Linked DNA regions of Elephas maximus indicus. The protein of the gene in region 1 purifies or fractionates together with the protein of each later gene. This does not show direct contact. Links are inferred from orthologs where the notes say so. Each region holds a gene or a part of one and is shown on either strand. Other genes may lie near its edges. The genes, in order: NUP214 and NUP88.

Region 1 (7,517 bases):
TGGATGGTAACATGTCAACTAAAAAGCCATGCAACTAAACCCTTCTCCTAGAAATCCACGACACAAGTTCAACTAAGCAAAAATAAAAGTATGGCATGGACAGTTCTTCCTTCCTTTGTGCTTAGGGAAACAACTCATCAAAAAGAGAAATACAAAGGACCAAAGAGAACACCTAGAAAAGTTCCCAGCATCCCACCTGGAATTTACTTTTCCTGGGGGGGTGAAGGGATCACAGCAGTTTTAATTTTAATATTAAAATGACTGTTTGAAAAGGAAACATTAGCACTCCACCACACTCTTCTTTTTAATATGCAACATAAGTCAAGTAACTTACCAATTTTATTGGGATCATCCCCAGGTTTATTTTGAATCAGAAGATTTTTAGTAGGAAAAATTTGCAATCCACTGGTTCCACCAGCAAAGACCAGACCATACTTGTTGGACACGGCAAGCAAACTCGTGCGTTCCTTGGGCAACTTGTCAGGGGACTCAAAGATTCTCACTTTTTTCAGTGCTCTAAACTGAAAATCCTATTGTGAAGGATTGAGGGGAAAAAAAAAAAAAATTCAGGGCTAACAGAAAATTATGTCTGTCGTTATATTCCAAGAGACCCAATTCCAAGGCAACAAAAGAATATAATTCCTTGAGGCTAAGGACAGTGTGTCTTTAAATTCTTGTGCTTATTATCATGGTGCCTGGCATAGTGTGCAATATTTGTTAAATGAGATAAATGAGAGAAAACTTTCATGAAATTTTTCTTGGACTAATCTAGCTCACACTGATCTCTTCTTTTTTCTGAATTCCTACTGTATTTATTCTTCGAATCACCACAAACTATATTATTTATAATCTTATCCTGTCATGTTAAGTGCATATTGTCTCAGACCCAGAGTAGAGCTTAATACTTGTTAAATATTGAAAGTATCACCTAACTACAGTGAACTCTTAACTTCTAGTGTAGTAGTCAACAAATATATATTGAAATAATGATGACAGAAGATGACCAAAGCCCAAGAATTGGCTTACTTATATCATATGCCAAAAAAGCATTCTATCACAAAATGGAAATGGACAATCTCTTGAAGCTCAATGCTTTTAAGCAAAACACAGATGCTATGAGAACATTTAAAACACAAAACCAAAATTCATAACACAATCTATAAGGTCAAGCATGGCTTGATCCCTCTACCTCTGTAGTCTCATCTCCGCTTCCTCTAAAAAATGCACTATCACCACTGCTACAGCTACCTTCCCTGCTCCCCCCCACCCCATTTCCCTCAGTCCTCATGCTCTTTAGTACCTTAAGGCCTTTAGACATAAATAATTGGCCTGGGAGCCTCCTCCCCTGATCTCCTGCCAATGTCTGACTCACCTGTCTTCCATGGATTTATCTAAGTTTTCAATAAGAGATACATAAGTTTATCAATCACTATGTTAAACTACACTGTGGGTATATATATATATATATATATACACACACACACACACTTTTTTTTTTTTAATATAATTCTAAGCCTGTCTTTAAGTCAAGGCCTCAGTAAATCAACTTTATGCTTATAATCCAAAATTGTAAAAAACAAGGACAGTTTTTCTCAGCCTTCATTTTTTTTCCACACTGGATTCTTATACAGTTTCATATAGGATCCTTTCCACACCCCACAAGAGGATCAGTCCCTGGAGAAGGACACCATGCTGGGTAGAGGGTCAGTAAAAATGAGGAAGACCCTCAACGAGGTCGAATGACACAGCAGCTGCAACAACGGGCTCAAGCACAACAATGATCATAAGGATGGCACAGGATCAGGCAGTGTTTAGTTCTGTTGTACACAGGGTTGCTATGAGTAGGAACCAACTCTATGGCCCCAACACAACCCACGTACTAGTTTCCTTGGGTTAGGTGTTTAATACATATTTGCTAAAAGATTAACTGAAATACTCTTTCTTAATTCCAACTAGGAGCCCTGGTGGCACAGTGATTAAGAGCTTGGCTGCTAGTCAAAAGGTTGGCAGTTCGAATCCACCAGCCACTCCTTGGAAACCTTGAAATTCACACAGCTTTTCAGATGAGACCACACTATAGTTTCATACAGGAGGAGAATAAAAATTTCATTTTTGTAATTCTTATCCTGATAATCCTAAATTTTTTATTTGGGTCTTAATCACATGGGTACAGTAGGCCAGTGGGATGAAGAAGCACAGGAGAACTCTCCTTTCTGTTACAATCATATAACTCAAAGGGAGACTATCGTTTCTAAGGCTGTGGTCCTAAAACCTTTCTTTTCTTCTGCTCCAGCATATCTGAGGAACATGACACATTCCCTCTGGGTTGCTCACCACAGCAGTGATTCTCAAGAAGAAAAAGTAAGAATCATTACTCTAAATATGGATCATTATCCCTACGACTCGAGGGCACTGGGTGGGTAAATGCTTCCTAGGGATTTGTTGTTCACATGAATGCCTGAAATCTTCCTGTAACTTATTTCCTCTTAGCCGTTTGCTATGTAAAAGAAATGTAGCTTGTTCTCTGTACTCTCGTTCTATCAGAAAATTTATAAGAAACGTCAAACACAACCATCCTGGGGACCTACCCCCGCACTCTCCAACTTTACCATCATTTGGACCACTTATTTCTCCCCTTTTCTTGACCTTAAGCTGATGTGCTGCGCCAAAATAGCCCTTCTATGCCAGTTACCTAAAGGTTTTGTAAGATGCCTGATCTTCGGCTCTATGTTAAGCAAGTCTGGACCGCCCTACAGAAGTAGTACCGTGACAGTGAAGAAAGTGTCTTAAATAAACCTAGACTTCAGTCCCCTTGTCAAATGTGACTGGATAAGCTACTTTCCGGGTCTCGATTTTCTCCTCTGTAAAACAGGGATACTAACAACCACTTTATAGGGTTGCGGTGATGATTCAGGGAGATAATGCTTACCACAGTGCCTGGCACACAATAAACGCTCAATAAACAGTTATTACCACTACTCAGACTACCACATGTAAGCAGCTAAGATAACTCCAGAAGAATGCACAAGACTAACAAAGACCGGGGAAGCTCATTCCGTGGGGCTACCACGCAAGCGGCACAACAGAGCGCTCCAGAGCAACGCCAGTGAGAACTCTGAACGCCGTAACCTGTTCAAGCCGAAGGCGGGGCTCCAAGGCAACGCCAGTACTAAGGGAGGGAGCCCCTGGCCAGTATCTGACCTTCATTTCCCGCTCGGGGATCATCGCATCCATCTCGTCTCCCATCGCGCCGCACACAGGTTGTCGAAGCAGCTACTGCTGCCGGCCTGGGCCTTGCCCACAGAGCACAAGCCGCTCCGAGGCCAACTTCCTTCCCTCAGGGACAGTACCGCGCAGCTGAACTCGCATTTCCGGCGCGCTTTGATGACGTCACGCGTCCTGTTCCGCTAAGTGTTTGAGGAAACTAGAGGTAGACTTGAAGCCGCGCGCTCCTCGGACTGCCACCTCCCATTGGCCAGTTCAGTCCGAGTGGGGGCGTGGCCCTAGGGCCCGCACGCCTGCCGCCTGGAGCGTCCTGACTCCGCCCCCACGCTTACGGTCTCGCCTAGGGTTGGAGTTACTCGTTCGGCGTCTGACGCCTGAGCGCTGCAAGCACCTTGTTCCGTTGAAACCTCACAGTAACCTTTCGATGTAGGTGGTTATTGTTCCCGATGCAGAGATGTCAGGGACTTGACAAATATTTACAGGGGCGGCTCTTGAGAGAGGCTTTGGTGGGGCAGGGTAAGGGAAGAGAAGTTCAGAAAATAGGTGGATGGAACCTTGTCACAAAAGTCCGTTTTGAAAAAGGGCACCAAAGACCAGCTTTGTTTACTCCTTTGAAGAGCCGTATCTATCTCCGTTAACAAAATAGTTTGTGCTGAGTTCTGGGCAAAACCCTTTAGTTGTGCTTATCTTATTTAATTGTCAAGACATCCCAGCCACCTGGGATTGCCGTTTAATTGATGAGACGACTGAAGCACAGAGATGTTAAGAAAATTCCTCCAGTGCCCCTCAGCCAGAAAGTGTTGGAGGTAGGATTAGAATTCATGTTGTCTGAATTTGATAACTATTACACAGCCCTGTTGTAGAAGAAATTTTTTGTAATGGAATTATAAATGCTGTAGGATATTCTACCACTATCAGGTTTGCAGTAAGTTGTTTATCTGCTCCAAGCCCAATTCTCATCTGTAAGAGGTTGACAATGACAGAACCTATCTCACGGAGGTTTTTGTGAGGGTTAAATAAGTCTGGCACATTTTAATCTGTTAACTAGCTCTTCTGAATTTGCTGAGCTAAAGAACTGTATTAAAAATAAACCAATCATGACATCGATAAGTTTGTCTGGTTTATTTCCAATCTGTAGAGATGATATCCCACACCACACGCACTCACATGCACACACACACACACATACTTCATCCACCTGGATTTACCCAACAAACTCCTTCCTTTTGAGTCATAGGGACAAAGCCATAATTGGCAGTCCCCAAGTTGCTGGTTACATTACAGATAGATTTGGTCTTTCAGAAATAAAGACAGCTGAAGCGCCAAGAAGCTGAGCCCCTAGCCAGAGAAGTAAGTATCCTAGAGCCAATAGCCACAACCTGAAATACATGCAGGCCCCTTGTCCGAGAAACATTCTTGAGACCCTTTCCACCAAGGGTTGAGTTCTAAGAAGTGGTGAAGGAACTGATGGGGTTTCCCAAGGTACCCCCCCATCCAATGAGAGAGCCCCTCTTCCGGCCCTTTCCAGAAGCTGGAAACACACCAGCTTGTTTTCCTTCCTTAAGGAGGCTTCCTTCGGTCTTGTAAGCTGCGGAACCCACTGAAATAAGCCTGGCTAGTTTTGTCTTTCTCTGTGAGTGAGGAACGGGTACACTGAATATGATGGGTAGTAAGGAAGGCTTTACCTTGCTCAAAGGTCCCAGCCTGCCCAAAGAGGACAGGCAGTGAGAAGCCTTGGGGTCAGGTAGCTGCTAATCTATTGATCTCAGGAAAAAAAAAAAAAAAGGCAGAGGAGGTAGAGGTGGGATTTTACATTTACAGGGTGGAGTGTTTTACTGGGGTTTAAACTTCGACTAGGCCTGTGCATTTGAAGCAGCTTCTTAGGCTGAAGATCAGCCAGTCATGGCCAAATAGTCTTGCTCCTGAACTGGTTGAGACCAGTGGACTAATCTAACCTGGCCATTTCCCCACCCTCTTCCTCCCTTATCCTCTCAAGCTACTATAGGGAGCAGCACGTTGGGCCCTTGATTATGGGTCACTAAGGAGCCACAGGGAGCCCGCACTGGCTCCAACAGCCCCCAGACCTTTCTACTTTAGGTTTTGCAAAGGTTTCTCCAAGTCTCCAGTCTTGGGCCCAGCTCATTCCCCCAGGACTGCAGGGCAGTTACCCTTGTATCCCCCATTCCTAACATTCATCTCTCATGTTATTATCTGGGTCTGACTTCCCCACTAGACTCACAATTCCATGAGTCTGTCCTATTTTACTGCTGGATTCTTAGTTCTTTGCTCATAGCAGGTGCTTAATAAATACGTTCAATGAATAAGTGCATCCAAGTCCTGCATGGGGAGAGATAAGGGACTGCAGAGCACAGGTGGTATCAAGGCTGAGACCCCCTGCTCAGCCAAGAAGTGGCCAAGTTTGACATCTTCCTGCATGTGTTCTGAGAACCAGGCACCAGAACTGTAAAGGCAGTCCCAGGCCTTATACAGACCCTGATGCTGACTTGGAAATGCTGGGTAGTTAATCCTGGCCCAGGGCCTTCCAGGCAAGGAAAATCTTACCCAAATGTTGACCTAGGAGACTACCTTTCCCCAATCCTTCCCTGTTTTCACAACTAACTGAGGATTCCAGAGCAGAGATGAGGTGTGGGCAGGGGATCAGAAGACCTGAGCTCTGGTCCAGACCCTTCCATCTCCAAATTAACCCCCTGACCTTGGGCAAGGCACTTAATCTCTATGGGCCAAACATGGTTTTCTCACCTGTGACATGGGAGGACTGCCCAGCTAACCTGCAGGGTGGATTGGGACTCTTAAATCCTGTGAGTCTATAATAAAGAACAAAGGTATCCCCAATCCAATTCCAAAACTCAAGGTTTTGGGTGATTTGGAAAAGGAGAGATGATTTAGAGAGACAGTGGACACAGCACATGTCAGGATAAAGGGGAAGGACTTAAAGCTCGTAACAGATGGTCAATAAATATCTGTAGAATGAATAAGTGAATCGTGTGAGTAGGGTGGGAAGACAAATGGGGGAAGAGTAGTCAGGTTTCATGAAGATTGGGGTCAGAAAGGTAGCTCTTGGTTTAATAGTAAGGTTGACTCTTTGTGCCATGAACATTTTATTCTTGATTCTCCTGTCCTTTTGCCCTCAGCATCCTTCCTAAAAGAGACTAGACTGAGGCGACCCCTCCCCTAAGGTCCCTGGCCCCATCTCTCCCTCCAAAGCCCTTTCCTGCTCCAGCAACGGCCGGCCTGTGCAGCTGCACCTGCCCTCCAAACTGCCTGTAAAAGTGTGGTCGCTGCTGGTGGCATGGCCAGAGAGCTCCTTCCGGTACCTTCTCAAAGGGCTCAAATTGCCAAACTCCTCTCTTCCCCTCCTCCAGTCGCCTCCTTGAGAACCCTCATTGAGGATAAGAAGCACAGACTGAGTGGAGAGCAGCTGGGGTGGTAGGCCATGGTGTGGCCGGCAGGAAGCTGGGCCAAGCCAAGAACGCTGGAAACACAGAGCGGCCAGAGGAAATGTTCACAAGGCCCTGCAGCCTTGTCCCAACTCCAGAGCCTTCCCAGCCTCCCTGCCCTGGCTCTGGCCCTTCCCCTGTCCCTGTGGTTTTTGGTTTGATGTCAGCTCTTCTGCAGAGGGAGGATGGAAGGATGGGTGAAGAGGGGACTGAAGGCTCAGGATTCCACCACCCAGAGCCCTTTTAAGGCAGGTAGTTTGTGCTTTACAAAAAGATCACTGATTCTGTCCAATGAAACAAACAAACAAACCCGCAATGACCAAACAAACAAACAAGACAAATCACAATGAGTCAAGAAGGCCAGCGAGATGTGGAGAGAGGAGGAGGGGCGGGGAGGCCAGGTAGGGCAGGGGCAGGTCCAGGCAGGGTCCTCAGGGTAGGCTGGCAATGTCTCTCTCTGGAGGAGGGCCAACTGGCTTCGGGCTGTTCTCATTGGCTTTTCCTTCAAACATCATGACTCTGGTTTGGAGATGGAGAAAAACAAAAGAAAAGAAAAAAAGGATTAGGACTTCTTCCCCTATCCAGGGAAAGATCATCTAGCCCTCAAGTCTACGGGCCTCAACAGATGCCCCTCAAATCCATTTCCCAGTGGGATCTTGTGGAAGCCTAGGGCAATCTGCTAGGGCCATTGTACAGAGGAGAAAACAGGTGCAAAATGATGACTTTACTCTGCAGAACCACATAGGTACTCCAAGGCAGGGGCAAGAAGAGACACCAAACCTCTGATGCATAGGCCATGTGCCTTCCCCTGCCCACAATGCCTGGTGTAGGCTG
Region 2 (8,140 bases), on another chromosome or scaffold:
AAATAAAAGTATAATTTTACATACACTATAAACATTAAAATCACAGGAAGCCACAGGAGCCCTAGAGACGTAACAGTTAAGCACTTGGCTGCTAACTTAAAGTTCAGCGGTTCAAACCCACCAGCGGCTTCATAGAAAAGATCTGGCAATCTGCTGCTGTAAAGATTACAGCCTAGTAAACCCTATGGGGCAGTTCTCTCTGTCACATACGGTCGCTATGAGTCAGGATTGACTAGACTGCACAAGAACAACAACAAAGTTTCAATAGTAGCACAGTATCAAGACTCACTGGTAGTACAAATTATATAAATATGCACTAAATGGAAATACAACTTACCTACAATTCACTTTTGATTTTCCACCTTCAAATTCAGAGTTCTTCCCCCATCTTTTAGGTAGTTCTAATACCATAAGTCCTTTTAGTCCTATAAGTGCTACATGATGTTGTGTTGGACTTAACAAGACTTGATAGATTTCAAACAGGGGTGGATTTATACAAAGCAGTCTCTGGAAATTAAAGCACAAGGGTCAAATAGTTCATTTTAATACAAATACATGTAGGAGTTATTCAAAAGCATACTAATACTTTAATCTTCTATACTTGTAAGATAATGAAGCATTCTGGAAAAACACTAATACTTGACCCACTAACTGTTGAAATATTTTTAACCATTTAGATTGGAATGTTATATAAAATGCATCAGACTTCCCTACTTTGAGAAAAAGAGAATACTACATTTTTCTTTCAATGATCAAGCTGCAGCCTACTACTCCAGTCTCAACTCTCCACCATTCTCCACTCATACCTTATAATATAAAAAGTTAACTTGTATTTCTGGGAAATCATCACGCTTTCTTATGCCTCTGTGTCTTTATTCCTCCTGGAACGCCTTCATTTTCTTTTGTAGTTGGCTAACAAGACTGAACACATTCTTGCAGACTCAGCTTCTACGCACCTTCTACACAATGAAACATCCCTGGTCTTCAGGTCAGGGTTGAAAGCACATTTTAGGTGCTCCTATAGCACTCTGCATAATTATAGCTATCACCTTGCATTCTAATCGTTCTCTTACTTGCTCATTCCACCCTACTATGAATTACTTCATGGGAAGATCTGTGCCTTTCCTTTCTGCAGTCTTACCATAGTATCTGGCATACTGTCAACTCTCAGTACAGGGTTAGGGAATGGGCAAATGAAGAACTTGAACTACTAACACGTGCTAATCACTACACTGAGCCTTGGTGGCACAGTGGTTAAAGTGATCAACTGCTAACGGAAGGTCGGTGGTTCAAAACCACCGGTGGCTCCGTGGGAGAAAGATGTGGCAGTCTGCTTCCACAGAGATTTAGAGCCTTGGAAACCCTGTGGGGTCACTATGAGTTGGAATGGACTCGACAGCAGTGAGTTTGGGTTTTTGTTGGTTAATTACTATGTTATAAACAGTACAACAAGATATAAACTACTTTCAAGAATTTCTGCAACAAGAAAAGTGCTGCTTTAACTATGTAGATTTAAAGTGAAGCTGATTTTAGGGGGCTCTGATGAGCTGTTTGTCTCAGTATCATATTAAAAAAAAAAAACAAACCAAATCTACCGTCACTGAGTCCGACTCATAGCGACCCTATAGGACAGAGTAGAACTGCCCCATAGGGTTTCCAAAGAGCAGCTAGTGGATTTGAACTGCCAACCTTTTGGTTAGCAGCCAAGTTCTTAACCACTGTGCCACTGCTTCCTATTTCTTTTGTCATGACCAAGCGATGGATCACTTCTATATGGCCGTTCTCACCATGGTCTTGTATATTCCACCAAATGATTGGGTGGGACTATGCAAATAAGGTGATTGTGGCTCACCAAGGGGATTGGCAGTTTGCTAATAACGCAAATAAACTGCCTGGAATGCCTGTGTGGAGTGGGACCATGCAAATAATGTGAATGGAACCTTAACAAGCGGATTGGTCAATTTTGCTGTCTTTCTAGGCTTAAAACAGAGCCAATCCCAGAGCAGAGGGGGATTTCACTACCACCAAAAGGAAAAGATAGGAGCAGAGGACATCTTTTGGACCTGGGGTCCCTTGCACTGAGAACTTCCTACACCCAGGAGATAAAGAAAGTTGTAACACCAGAAGGAGAAGCAGGGGCAGAGAAAAGGTGGCAGCAGAGCCAGGAAACCAGTACAAGGTGGTGCAGTGGACTTCCCAGCCCATGAAATAAGGTGGTTACAGTGGGTGTGCCAACCCACAGAGCCGAGCGCCTTCGGACAGAGGCTTGCTGGTGGAGTGGGATGCCTCTGGGCACTTATCTGTAGAGCTAAAGAGCTCTGTAACAACTGCTGGAGCAGAGCAGGGCCGAGGACAGAGAGAGGCCTGCTTGGGGGCACGGCTGAGAAGAGGCTGTCCTGAAGAACTGGACCCTGAATTGTAACCTGTTACTTCCCTAATAAACCCCATAATTGTGAGTACTGTCTGTGAGTTCTCTGTGGCCACGGCAACAAATTATCAAACACAGCAGAGTAGAGAGTGCCATGGGAGGGAAGGCAGGTGTCAGAACTGGTAAAAAGGTTGGAGGGAGGAGGCATGTCTGACGGCCACATCATAGGATCAGCCTTGGGCTGATGCTGATGGTGAGTCCTCTCCCCGCTTGTGAAGTCAGAGGAGATCAGATGGCCCCTCCACGCCGTTTTTACAACCAACCTACCAAATAGCACACTATCCCCCTTTCCTGTTTTGTTTTTCTTCCGAAAACTTAACCATCACTGATAGTTTGTTGAGTATTCCATGGTCCTTCCTTCTTTCCAGAAACTAAGCACCACAGAAGCGAGAGTTTGATCTGGTTTATTCCCATAACAGCGTCTGGTACCGTGTCGGAGTCAGAAACTTTGGTTAAAAGAATACGGAAACTGAGGTATCGAAAGGCTATGTGGCCACGTTGGAGAAAAATAAAAATAAGGGGGAAGGCTTTTACACTTAAAGCGGGAAGTCCCCGAAACGACGCCGGCTTACACTTGAACAACACATTTACAGACGATGAAAGATCCCAGAACGAGAAGAAAAAAACCGAGTTCAGATCCTCCTGGTTTGGCCTTACCTGATATTGGGAGAGGGAGGGCTCTTCGCTGCCGCCCCTGAGGCTCCGAAGGCGAACGACTAAGAAGGAGCTGCCTTCCTCGTCCCACAGGAAGATCTCTCCGCCGAGGCCGAAAAGTAGGTTTCTCGTCAGCAACGGCGGCGGCGAAGACAAGGACGAAGAAGCCGATTTCTCAGTTTCGACGGCGCTCTGGTTCTTCAGTCCCTCCCGGAGCCGCAGGAACACGGCGTGGTTAGGGAGCTGGGTGTGCCACAGCTCACCGCCGTCCACAGGGTCCTCGGCAGCCGCCATTTTGGCCCAACTCCTCGCCTCCTTCCACTTGCTCAGCCCGCCGCTGAGCGCAGCCAATCCGGAGCTAGCTGTCCACTACTGCTGCCAATCATCGAGCAAACGAAAGTAAAACTAGGGGCGGGGCGAGAGTGAGGCCCGCCCATTGCCAGAGACGAGCCAATCACCAGTCAAGCACTTATTCTGACGGCAAAAGGGGGCGAGACGAGTAGGTCAACAGGCTCAGCGCCTGTTTAGGAAAAGTTTGGTACTGCGCACTCTCATAGCGCGAGGAGAGCCTGAGATCGGGGTATTTATCTGCCTACTGGACACCTGGTAGCGTAGTGGTTAAGAGCTACGGCTGCTAACAGAAAGGTCGGCAGTTCGAATCCACCACGCGCTCTTGGAAACTCTTTGGGGTAGTTCTACTCCGCTAAGAGTCGGAATCGACTGGACGGCAACAGGTTATTAGACACCTCCACCTGCATGAGGAAACCCTGGGGCCTAGTGGTTAAGCCTTTGGCTGCTAACCAAAAGGTCGGCAGTTGGAATCCACCAGGCGCTCCTTGGAAACCCTATGGAAGCAATTCCACTATGTCCATAATGTCGGTTTAAGTCGGAATCGACTCGAAGGCAACGGGTTTGGTTCGGTTTTATTACCTGCATAAACCCAGACATCCAAAACAAAGATTCGCCTCTCTCTCTCGCTCAATCCACATTTCGTTTACCTCATAAATGTCAAAATGTTGTTGGATTTACGTCACAAATGTCACTCTGTCTCGGCGTAGGGTTGGCAGGTAGAACAACACTTCCCAGAATTCCCCGCCCTCCATCTAGAACGCTGAGCATTCAGAAACTACAGCTCCCAGAATTCTGCGCGTTCCGAGGGGGCGGGGCTTTGTGGAGGCTGCTCCGCCGAAGAGGCGATGGCAGAGCCGCCGGAGTCTCCGCACCGCTCGCTGTACAAAGTGGTGGGCTCTCCTCCTTGGAAGGAGGCTTTCAGGCAGGTGTGTGTGGGGTTTATGACTAGTTGGGTTGTAGTCACTCCCCTAAGCCATCCCTGGGCTATTCTCCTCACGTAGCTCCGTGAGGCAGGTGCCGGGAGCGCCTGGCCATTGAAGTGGACCTCGAACCCGGGCCTCCTGTCAGTAGGTCTGGGATGACTAGTGCCTAGCCGCCCACCCGGAGGTTCTGGCGTTAGTCCGGGCCAGCCCAGTCCCAGGAAGTCTTGCTTTCCGATTTGGGTTTGTTTCATATTTGAAACGTGGCTGTGGCCTCATCCCTTTAATAACTAACAGCGACACCGGTGCGTCAGGAATCGAAAGAGGATCTTCGTGTACGTACTGCGTATGAAGTAGGAATTGTTTATATTCTAGAGAGGAGTAAACTGAGGCTCAGAAGAGCCTCAGTTCCTAAGTCTTAGCAGACTTGTACCCCACCTCAGTTCTGACCTATTCTGAACTCACCACGGTTTCCAGAGAGTAATACTCCTTTTCTCGCCCTGAAGTAGTGGATGTACCCCAGGAAGGTAATCTGACGCTAGAACTGTGTGCAGCAGGGCTTCTCAGCCTTGGCACTATTAACATTTTGAGGGGTAATCCCTTGTTGTGGGAGCTGCCCTGTACATTGTAGAATGTTTAGCAGCTTTCCTGGTCTCCACTTTTTAGATGCCAGTAGACCTCTAGTTGTGACACCCAAAAATGTCTCCAGACGTTGCCAGCTGTCCCCTGGGAGACAAAATGACCCCCAAGTTAGAAATACTGTGTGCAGGAGGGTTGTTAACACAGCCATATCTAGAGTAGCAAAACACTTGGAAATGTCCTGTAATAGGAAGAGGAAGCTGAAATGTTACGCAGCCAACCATTAAGAAAGGTGGCATTGAAGACATCTGGGAAGTACGATCTGGAAATACATGAACAAGGCATTGTAATTTCCCCTTTTTTTACATGTGGACCAAGACTGGAAGGAATACGCAAAAATGAAAATAGCGTAGTTGGAATTTTATGTCTATAAATTGTCTTTAATGTTTCAACAACTAAGAATATTAAAAAGAGAGAAACTTGTTTTCCCTTGCCCTCCCCCCCCATCTTGCTCCTTACTCCAAGGGATGCCTGGAGAGAATGAAAAACAGCCGGGACAGGCTCCTGAACAAGTACCGCCAGGCTGGAGGCAGCCTGCCAAGAGGAGCTCAGAACACCCTTCTAGTGCAAGAAGTGATGGAAGAGGAGTGGAACGCTCTGCAGTCAGTGGACCACTATCCAGAGGCCTTGGCTCAGGTCAGGCTGGGGTGTGTGCACAGGGGGTGGGCTACAGCAGCATGAACTACTAGTTGGCACCTATTTACCTAAGTCCTGTAAACACACCCACCCTCAGCCCTCAGGCAGAATTCTCACAGATTTTAACCCAGGTTCTTCTACCTCTAATGTTAGGTTATTCAAGATCAATGGTTTCTAAATACCAGACTGTAGACCTGATGCATCATAGTATCGTAATCACTTATGAAACAAACAAAATTATACAGTCATTCATTCTTTGTCTCTCCCCTGGAAATTTCGATTCAGTACACATGGGTTAGGGATCTCCCTTTTTAAAAAATATCTCCAGGAGCTTTCTGATTCTAATCTCAGCCAGGGTTGGGAGTTGAGTATGGATAGGAAACCATTTACAGTGTATTGGAAAGAGCATTGGATTGGAAGTCAGCAGTTCTGGAGTTCTAGTCCTGGTTTTGCTGTTGACTCATTAACTTCATTCTGCCTCTTTGAGCTTTCGTTTTCACGTTTCTAAAATGAAGAAGATAATGTTGCCAGCATTGTTAGGATTATATAAGAAAATGTGGACAAGGGCTTTGGAAGTACTACATAATAACAATGTATTATTGGGTGCCTTCTATGTGTCCTAGAGTATGTGAAATACTTGCCCTTACATTAGCACAGTTACTGCTCACAGTAACCCTTGCAGGCTGGTTTTATTTCCACTCACAGAAGCCAAAACTGAGGTTTACAGAAGTTAGGAACTTTACTGTTGTCACGTAACCTTGGCAGAACCATATATTTAACTGCTACCATATACTGTCTCCCCCAGATTTGGTGCCATTATTCCATTCCTGGGTAGTTTGATCATTTGTTGATAGTTTCTCAGCATGGCCACACCACGTCATTGTCAGCATATTCTTCAAAAGTACGGGACTGATCCCCTGAGGGAAGTCTGGGCTCTTTAAGCCAAGTTCCAAGTACAGTCGTCATGAGGCTTGGTGACTGATTAAGACTTCAGACTTCTGATGAGCTCCACTTTCTTTTGCAGGTGGAGGAGCCAACGGACCTGGCTGTACTTGAGGAAATCCATCAGGAGCTGATTGACCAAGGTGACCCCTGAGGGTAGTCCTTCCTACCTATATTTAGCTACTTTAAGGCTGACCTTTCCTTTGAGCAGGATAGTTCTTAACAGAGCTTTGAACCTGTTCGACAAGTTCCCAGGCGATGCTAATGCTGCTGGTTAGGGACCAATTCTGAAAACCACTAGTAGGGCAGTGGTTCTCAAATTTTAGTGTACATAAGAATCACCTGGGATTTTGTTAAACTGTAGACTCGGATTCAGTCTATCTAGAATGGAAATACAAATTCTCGACAGGGATTTGAACTGGAACAAACCAGTTTGAAGCCTGGTTCTTAACCCTGCTCCTTTACCTCCATATTCAGTCTAGTGTCCAGAAGTCTCTGTTTATACTTTGAAGACTTGTCTGTCTTCCCAATAATAAGAGTCTCCAGTGTGCTAGCCCTTGTGCTAAGAGCATCTCATTCCATTATATTGTCTTCTCCTATGACTACCCTACAAGACAGTATTAGAAGAAAGTGTCTTACCCAGGTCATACAGCTAGCAAGTGGTGGAGCTGAGAAACAGAATCAATTGTGTGAACCCAGTTCTGGTGTTTACTGCACTGTCCTACTGTACCTGTGTATTAGTATAGGTTAATAGCAATCCGCTCACTTCACAGGATGTAATTTAAGTGCCTTCTTTCCTATCCATTCTTTACTGACTCCTCAGTGTCCTGTGAACAGCTACTCCCTGGGGCATCCATAGCACTGTGTGGAGTGCCTGGTTTAGCACCTCATACAATTAAGTCATTTATTCCACAGAGTCTTGTCTTTACTAGGCTGTCTTTCTCATCCCCGAAATAGAGGTAATAGACCTGCCCTACAAGATTGTTATCAGGCTTAAATGAAACAACCTGTGTAGAGGACTCAAAGCAGTGCTTGGTGTGGGTAAGTTTGCAATCAGTGGATAGCTTGGGCTGGTGTCAGAAGTAAGCACCCTGTAGTGTCAGCTAAAGTCTCGCCTGTGAGCTCATCAAGAGCTGGGGGCCAGTCTTTTTCATCTTTGTCACCCAGTGCCTACCACGTACTAGGTATTGGTGCATGTTGCTGAAAGAATGAGCACACAGATCCTGAACAACACAGGTACTACCACAGGGGCACCACTCACTTTAAACTCAGCAGGGCAGGCCTGGTATCAGAAGTGCCTTGTAGTGTCAGCTTCCCCCAGGTGCTCTCAGGACTCTGACATTCCACATCTCTGCCCCAGTAGCCTCTGGAGACGTGTGTCAAAGTTATCTCCTTGTCCTTTAGCCTCAGTTCACCTCTTATGCTCGCAAGGAGAGGACAGATAGGAGGGGGAGGGGGGAATCCAAGAGCAATAAAGACGTACCAATTGGTTGTGTGTTTTTGCCTGAATCGTTTTCTTTGTGGAGGAAGCCCTTGAAGGTGAAGCATAGCATTAAAGACAGGGCCCTCT

The links.
Region 2: the proteins of NUP214 (region 1) and NUP88 purify together in Homo sapiens (affinity purification with mass spectrometry; 6 studies listed by BioGRID and IntAct, counting the BioPlex papers as one, with this or other methods). This does not show direct contact. The link is inferred for Elephas maximus indicus from reciprocal best matches to the Homo sapiens genes NUP214 and NUP88.

What each region holds. Positions count from the first base shown.
Region 1 is NC_064827.1:82,068,696-82,076,212, reverse strand, and holds the start of NUP214 (nuclear pore complex protein Nup214), read right to left. Parts: upstream 3,368-7,517; 5' UTR 3,247-3,367; coding exon 3,202-3,246; intron 531-3,201; coding exon 335-530; intron 1-334. Other genes in the region: AIF1L (allograft inflammatory factor 1-like), read right to left, coding at 7,115-7,202. UniProt on the Homo sapiens protein: Part of the nuclear pore complex. Has a critical role in nucleocytoplasmic transport.
Region 2 is NC_064837.1:15,088,950-15,097,089, forward strand, and holds the start of NUP88 (nuclear pore complex protein Nup88), read right to left. Parts: upstream 3,422-8,140; 5' UTR 3,377-3,421; coding exon 3,086-3,376; intron 508-3,085; coding exon 338-507; intron 1-337. Other genes in the region: RPAIN (RPA-interacting protein), read left to right, coding at 4,279-4,359, 5,458-5,628, 6,653-6,713. UniProt on the Homo sapiens protein: Component of nuclear pore complex.